Tamandua tetradactyla: one gene and its partner. The protein of the gene in region 1 interacts with the protein of each later gene in a pairwise test. Links are inferred from orthologs where the notes say so. Each region holds a gene or a part of one and is shown in the gene's direction. Other genes may lie near its edges.

Region 1 (3,903 bases):
TTTCAAAAGGCTGGAGGGACGCGGGGGAGTCGGCCCGGCGGGAAGCGCGCGGCCGAAGCAATGCCGCAGAGCGGCTACCAGCCCGCTTTGTACTTGCGGCCAAGCGCGGCCCCAGAGTTTCGGCGGCGGCCTGGGAGTTGAGGTCACGCCCCCTTTGCAGGGAGAGCTGCGGCGTCTGATTGGTGCGCCGCGAGCCAATGAGCGCGCCGGGGCGGTCCGGGCTGTCAGCGCGCGCCGCAGCTGAGCCGGGCGCAGCCTGTCCTCCCCTGCGCGGAGCCCTGCAGCCAGCGCAGCCTTCGCGGGAAGCGCTATCGCTCGCGACCGCCGCCTTGCCCAGCCCGCCAGCCGCGCGTCCGGGTGCCGGCGCTCCACGGCCACAGGCTTGCTGCGCTATAGCGCACGCAGCACGTGCAGACCCGCAGGCGCTAAGGAGCTATCTGTCCGGGAAGCTTCTGGGCACTGTCACGCCGAGAGACCTTTCGGGGCTTTTGCCGCGTCTCTGCGTGTCGGGTGACACTGCGGTGCTCGCGAGCAGGGTGGTAGCTCCCTCTCAGGGAAGACGTCTTGAGCTCGGTGCTTTCTCTTTCTCTCCTTCCTCCCCTGCTCGCTCCTTCTCTCGCCTGATCATACCCTCAGTCTCCCGAAGCGCGAGGCGTGCGTCCCCGCCGCTTCTCCTTTCCAAAGGGGCCTCCTCACGTCGGAGATGCAGTGACAAGATAATATGGGCGTCCAAGCCACGGTTTCCCAGGAGGAAAATTGCGAGAGGCAGCAGCCACCGAGCGCCCAGAGTTCGTGAGCAGCCCACCCAGGAGAGGCGTGAGACCCGGCTGCAGCATCTTGCCAGGCGGGAACCGCTGAGCGCTGTGACCAGTTCCGGGCCCCCATCGCGGCACCCTGAAGGCGCGCTCGCCTGCCCGCTGCGTTCTCCCCGACTCGGGGATTTTTTTATTCCGCCGCTGGTGGTGGGCGCCTCGTGGGCCGAGGCCCGGCGCCTGCTCTGCCGCCCGCGCTGCCTTTAGCGGTCGCCTCCGCTGCCGCTGCCAGGGACGTGCTGGGAAAGCCGAAGCCCCGGGAGAAGATGCCGGCCATCCTGGTCGCCTCCAAAATGAAGTCGGGACTACCCAAACCCGTGCACAGCGCCGCGCCCATCCTGCACGTGCCCCCGGCCCGGGCTGGCCCCCAGCCTTGTTACCTCAAGTTGGGAAGCAAGGTGGAGGTGAGCAAGACCTCCTACCCTAGCCAGATCCCCCTGAAATCGCAGGGGCTACAGGAGCCGACGGGGGAGGGGCTCCCGCTGCGGAAGAGCGACTCGGTGGAAAATGGGTTCGATACCCAGGTGAGAGGGTGCTACGTGCCCTGGCACTTATTTCGGGGTGGGGGTAGGGGGCGAATGGTGAATACTTTTTTTTGAGGGGAGTGGCGAGGGGGGAACGGCTAGGTGGGGTGGAAAGGGCTGTCCTTATGGCCGAGGAAGGGAACGGCTCCCCTTGGTTAAGGGGCAGATTCGGGGATGCTCCAGCAGAGTGGGCCGGCGGGTGGGTGTGGCCCGGACGCCCGAGGTTTGCCAGAGGAGCCCTGCGAGACCCGCGGTAAGGGCATGCCTGCTGCTTCCTTCTGTTGGGTATGACCAGGCTGCTCTCAAGAAGGGTGTGCAGCTCTGGAAATGGCAGGTTCTGCATGATCATGGGCTTAGCCCCAACACGGGAGTAATATGTGCTGCTGTATTTGTTTCTGTCAGTTCCACCGAGGACTGGCCCTGCTAAGGGGTGGTCTGCCACCCAGAGGCTTGTTCTTTTTCCCACTGGACTCGCTGCCCCCTGACTTGGCTTCAAGGTTCAGGAAAGGAGCCTGCCTGAGGGAGGCAGTGGTGGGCATGCAGGCCATCCTTTGGAGTGACAGAATTCCCGGTGTGGTGCTGGGCTGCAGTATGAGTGCCGGTGCACCGGCTAAGGCAGGCAGCTGGAGATTCCTAGCGTCTTGGCTGGCTGCTGCGGTGGGGGTGGCTGTCTCAGAATGGCGGCCTGAAACCAAGCCCCTCCTTCCTGGGTGGTAGATCCTGGTGCTGGTAGCCAGAGTGACTGGGGGTACCGGTGGGAAGGTGGCTTAAAGGGAGGTGGTTCATTCTACCTTTCCAGACAGAGTCCACATCACCCAATTCGGCCGTGTGACAGGCCCGGGTCTTGCAGTCTCTTTTAAGGAAGTCAGCAAGGGCCAATCAGGTTCACTTGGCCAGATGCCCTCCTGCTGCCTTTTTTTTTTTTTTTTTTCCTCTTCTGGTAGGAGGGAGTGGGGGCATGCTGTATTTTCTTGGCAGTGTTTCAGTAGGGACTTTTGGGGACAGGCAAACCTGACGGATGTGACTGTCCTGGTCAGGAGAGGCAGGAAGCCAGAAGGGAGGTGGTTTGGGGTTGGTGTCAGGGTAGTGGCAACAGACCAGCTGACCTTTTTGGCAAGTTTTTCTCTGCTGACATTGTCTCCACCTTCTCCTGGAGCTTTCTCTGATCGGAGGCTAGAGCTCAACACATTCCTAGCTTTTCTGGTGAGGCACTGGAGCTGGAAGCTAATTGTAAGCAGACTTCTGGAACTCTGAGCTGGAGAAAGCCCTCAAAGTAGATTAAGCTCCCATGTCAGGCTGATAAGCATGCCCCTTGCTGCTGCACTTGCTAAACATTTTTGGAAGCTGACAGGTTTGAGTGATGGCATGTGGGAGGAAGGCAAGTTTTCCTCCCATGTTTCCAGGGCCCCTCTCTTCTAAAGTTTTATGTGTCTACTCGTTTTCTTTTGTGAGCCAAGGGATTTGTCCAGTGGACTCTGAAAGGGAATGAACACTGGGGTATATGCCTGCGGGGTTTTCCCCTTCGTGCTTGGAAGTAGGGCTTATGAGATGGGGTGGGCTGTACATGAGTGAGCAGAATGGTGACTCAGGATGTGACACACTCCCTCGAGCCTGATGAGGAGGATCTGAAGAATGAGAGGGAAAGTAGAGACTGAGATTGTTCATACCCAGGCAGCTGTTCTGCCTGGTGCCCATTTGACCCTTCATTTAACAAACATTATCGGAGGATGTGCAGTGGGCAGACCCTGGAAAGGTGATTCATCATCCTCTGCCCTGAAAAATGTTCTCTCACTTCTCCCTGGGGGCTGGCATGGTCCCATTTGCTTGGGTCTTTGCTTCCCTCCCTCATCCTTGGTACACAATTCCCAGAACCTTCACCCCACCCCACCCCCACCCCAATCCACTTCTCTTGCCCTCAACAGGTCCTTGTTGCTGACCACAAGGGTGATTTGGAAGGACTGCTGAGGGAAATGATCACCTCTGAGTGGAATATCACAGTTTTTCCCTGCCAGCCCTCTCTGCGTCAGTGTCCAGGGATCCTGGAAGCTCTTCCCTTTGTCAGGTGGCAGATCCTTGTTCTCTTCTCAGCCCATCCTGACATCAAAGAGGCATTGGAGAAAGGGGTTTTGCTTTCTTTGGGCAGCCCACACTCTGACTTACATGGTGCCCAGCCTTCAGAAAAGCCTCCCAACTTCAGCTTGAAGACAGTGTCTGATTTGTGGTCTGGTAGTCCCCCTGCCCCAAAGCTAGCATTTATCACTGGCAAATACTTAGGAGGTGATGAGTTAAATTACAAATGATGTCTCAGGGCCTCTGCCTCCCCTTTTATTCAGTTGATTTTTGACAAAAAGCTGGGTTGCGCAATGGTTAACAGCTTTAAAGTCAGATGGTTAATTGGTGGGGTATCTGATCTCGGCCATGTACTAGTTGGGTGACCAGGTGGATTAACCGCTCTGGGCCTCAGTGTTCTCATCTGTAAAAATGGACATAAACAGCCATGATAACTGGTTTGAGGATTAAGTAAAATAATGTGTGTGGAGGATTTAGCATAGTGTCTAATAAGAAGC
Region 2 (3,903 bases), on another chromosome or scaffold:
AATGGGGCCTGGACGGGTGCTCCCCAAACTGCAATCATTTAGATTCTAAGATGAGCAAGACAGTCACAGTCCTGCACCCTCAGGAGGTAGGAAATAATGAATGAAAATTGGCAATAGAACGTGTATGTATCTGTTGCAGTATTTGCCTGCAGTTTGCGGAACAGTTCACAAAGGGGGGCCTACCTTTAGGAATAGGTTTTAAATGACAAAATCATGACATCTGCATCTGTCAGGTTATGATAATTTGGGTGACCCACAGCCTCAGCAACTCATGTGGACTGTGGGAAGGGACCTGGGGCTCAGGCTAGTTCTGGCTATAAGTCATCTGTCCCCTCAGGGCTGGGAACATCCTGGGCAATCTCTACCTTGGGCTAACTTCTGAGCGAGGAGAAATTATCTGAATAGGGGCTGGCCCTGGAAGTGGCCACATCACCCAAGGGTAGTCCTCTGCCTAAAAATCAGCTAGGGAGGCCAGGCTGGGGCGGCAGGGAGTGGAGGAACCTGGGTCCAGGGGCGCACCAGCAGCTAGGACATCAGAGTCTGGACACAGAAGGGAAGCATCATCCCGAATTGCACCTTCTAAACCCATTTTTTACTCTCCTCCAGCACTCTTACATCCACTTCAGGATACACCTTTTCACGCTCTTTCATTCCTTTAACACTGAATCATATCGTTACAAAGGCTGCATTCAGTCATACTCTCAACACTTTCCACGTGACAGGTACTGCTCAAGGGACCCCAAAGTGGACTGGACAGTGGGTCTATTAGATGCCAAGGCTGATGCTGTGGGGGCAGCTACTGCCAGTGGAGGGGTGAGGAGGGGTGGGTCACATCCTCTGCAAGTTTAAGGGAAGAAGCAGAGGCCCAAGTAGTTCGATCGGAGCGGCAAGACCAGAGATGGGAGGTACAGGCAGTTCTCCCTGGCTCGTAGGTGGCCGTCCGCCCTCGGCTCCTCCTCCAGTTCTGGGTCGGCAGGAAAGACTGCGGTGCGACAAGACGGTGGGGTGGGGTTGGGAATGACAGACAGGATTCACCGACACCTCGGGGGCCGAGAGCCTGCACGTGTTAGCCCAGATGACCAGAGTAGGGGTCGGCCGCGAACAGGTGCAGGCTGGAGGTGCACACCGGGTGCCTCGAGCTTAGAACCGCGAGAATGGCCACCGTTCCCTTCCCAGCCCCTGAGGCCTCCGCACGCCAACTGTGCCTCTACGCCCATACGCCCTCCGGCGCTGCGGCCCACCCGGCGGAGGCCCAGACCCGGGGCGGCGCACACCCGCAGGGCGCCGAGCGGAAGCTGGGGGGCGGGCCCTACTTACGCCCCGCCCCGGCGGCCCGCGCCCCAATCAGTGCCCGCGGTCTATGAATAGTGAATGAGATGCGGGCCGGCCCCGCCCCTCGCCTCGCAACCCGCGCCGACCGCGCGCAGAGCCCCAGCGCGGCCGCGGAGGAAGATGGCGACCGCCATGTACTTGGAGCACTACCTGGACAGTAAGCACCCGCCCCGCCTCCCGGGCCCGGCCGCTGCATGACCGCTGCCGCCTGGCTTCCTCGCGCGTAGCTTCTGCGCGCCGCGGCCGGAGATTAGTGAGGGCGGCCGGGGGCTGGCGGGGCGACGCTCGACGAGCGCGCGCGCGCGCGGGCGGGAGGCGGGGCGGGGCGGGCGCGGCCCTGAACGCGGCGCGGGCTCCGGGCGATTTCGAGGTGCGTCACGGAGGGGCGGGGCCGAGGGCGGGGCAGGGCCACCCACGCCTCCGCCCCGGCCGCGCGCCCCCTCCCAGCCGGACGCGCTGGTCTTAGCTGGTACCAGAGCGGGCTCCCAGCGCCGAGCCTCAGTTGCTACCTCTCGGGAGGGGGTGGTCTGCTGAGCTGGGGGCCGTTCGGTGGCCGGGTCCCCCCGCTGGCCTGGGCTGACGCCCTCAGCCTCTCCCCGGTGCCCGTGTCCGGAGCGGCTCCCTTTGCCTTACATGTGACCACAGGCTTGCTCCACGGGGAAACTTGAGTCGATGGCGACTCTCCCAGGTTGCATACGAGGAAACCGAGGCCTGGAGAGGTGCAGGGACCCGCCCGAGCCCAGCTGGCGGACCCGGTGTGTGAATCCGGAGCTCCGGAGTGGGCGGGTCTGCGGTGCCCTTCCCGGACCTTCTCACTGGATCACCTCTCTGGGTCACCTCCCCGGGCCAGCTCCCCAAGTCACCTCCCTGGGCGCAGGATGCTGGTGGCGCACCGGATCCTAGGCAGTGAGGGCATGGTGGCCCCATTCTGGCCCGAGCAGAGGTGCATGGGTTGGTGGGAAAGCCAAGTCAAGGAGGTGGTGGAGTAGAGGTGTTTCCCCAACGTCGTGGGTACCCAGGAAGGAGGAGGAGGGGCACTGGGGCTGGTGTGCCAGGACTGCAGACATGACTTCCACTTCCATGGAATTCACCAGCTAATGGGGAAGGTGGATTTGTAGAAGGGTCACAGAAGCCTAAGGGCGACAAGGAGCGCGGTAGGTGAAGAGCACAGGGTCATTACTGTCCTGCAAGGTGGCAGAGGCAAAGCCCTGGTAGGATGGAGGGTGCAGCCCAGCAGATCCTGGGCCTGAGCGGGGTGGACTGGGGATTCACTTGGTTGGCTTTGGAGAGTGGATGGGAGGGGCTCGCTGGGGTTCTGACCAGGAGTGTGGTGTGGGGCCCAGGGCAGCATTGTGGTATGGGGCCCTTCAGTATAGCAGTTGAAGGCTGCAGGCTCCAATATAACTTTGGTTAAAACTGAGTAACACTGAAGTCCAGTTCCCATGGGCCATCTTTAACCCACCCATACCCTTCAGAGGGTCCCGCCATTATCCCCACTTTGCAGGTGAGGAAGTTGAGGCACAGAAAGATTATGTAACTTGCCTGCATCCCACAGCCTCAGAGCATCAGAGCACCTGTCTTTCAGGGAGAGTGACCCCAACCTGCCTACTTGCCCAGAGCTCTGCTTACTAGCCATCACAGACTGAAAGTACCATGTTAATTCACCAGAGTTGGAAATGGACACTGTCCTGGGGAGGCAGGGATTTCTTTTTCTCATTACCACCTTCCCCCCCATGTGCCTGGGACTTATTAAGAATTTGTGTTGAAATGAGTTCAAATGTTGGGGGAATGAACTGTGGAATCTCGGGTACTTGAGGGGCCTTCCAAGAGGGATCTGGCTCTGGCCAGTGAGGTAGAAGATGAAGATGGCCTGGAGGATGAGCCTCTGTGCCCTGTTCACATCCAGCTAACGCCACCCCCTCTTTTTTGCACTTGCTTTGCCCTTCGTCTGAACTTCTCTCCAGTTTGTGCTGAACACTAGTATTTTTATTGTTTTTCAGATCCTCATGAACTGCAGATAGTTTGCTGCTAGTAATTGCCTTGTTTTCTGGCATTATTTGTTCCTTCAAGCTATATTGATTAGGAACCAAAGTGATTCAACTCTTTCCAAGAAAAGATTTCAGAGAGGAGTCTTTCTTATGAGCCAGAGGAGCGTTCTCAAGCCGTTCCATTCTGCTCCAGCGGAACCCAGTGCGCCTCTGCCTTACAGGGGGTGCCTCTGTCCTCAGAGGCAGGGCACGTGCTACAGCTGGCACTAGCTGTGGGGTTGGTGGGCTGGGTTGGGATCCACTGAGAGCCCTGTGACCTCCCCAATCCTCCCTTTTGTTTTGTTTGTGGGAAGAGGACAATGCTGATTGCTTCCTGCCATGTGCAGGACTTGTGCTGCTGTCTAGACAGTGAGCATGTGGCCAGGGGGCGATGGGGTCTCAGTCGGCATGTCTGCCCACCCTGGGCCTCCTTCCCTGTCCTACTTGCAGCTGTTTCACAGCATACCTCCACCTCCTCCCTTCCTGAAGTGGGCAGCCTGTTGACAGCGTTGTTTGGTACCCAACCCTGAATAAAGAGATTTTA

The links.
Region 2: the proteins of NAV2 (region 1) and ING5 interact in binary tests that used the Homo sapiens proteins (3 or more experiments, as listed by UniProt). The two-hybrid records come from large-scale screens. The link is inferred for Tamandua tetradactyla from reciprocal best matches to the Homo sapiens genes NAV2 and ING5.

Annotation. Positions count from the first base shown.
Region 1 is NC_135334.1:95,257,194-95,261,096, forward strand, and holds the start of NAV2 (neuron navigator 2), read left to right. Parts: upstream 1-957; 5' UTR 958-1,078; coding exon 1,079-1,336; intron 1,337-3,903. UniProt on the Homo sapiens protein: Possesses 3' to 5' helicase activity and exonuclease activity. Involved in neuronal development, specifically in the development of different sensory organs.
Region 2 is NC_135329.1:80,715,451-80,719,353, reverse strand, and holds the start of ING5 (inhibitor of growth protein 5), read left to right. Parts: upstream 1-1,404; 5' UTR 1,405-1,452; coding exon 1,453-1,489; coding exon of another isoform or gene 1,490-1,528; exon of another isoform or gene 1,529-1,580; intron 1,581-3,903. UniProt on the Homo sapiens protein: Component of the HBO1 complex, which specifically mediates acetylation of histone H3 at 'Lys-14' (H3K14ac) and, to a lower extent, acetylation of histone H4. Component of the MOZ/MORF complex which has a histone H3 acetyltransferase activity.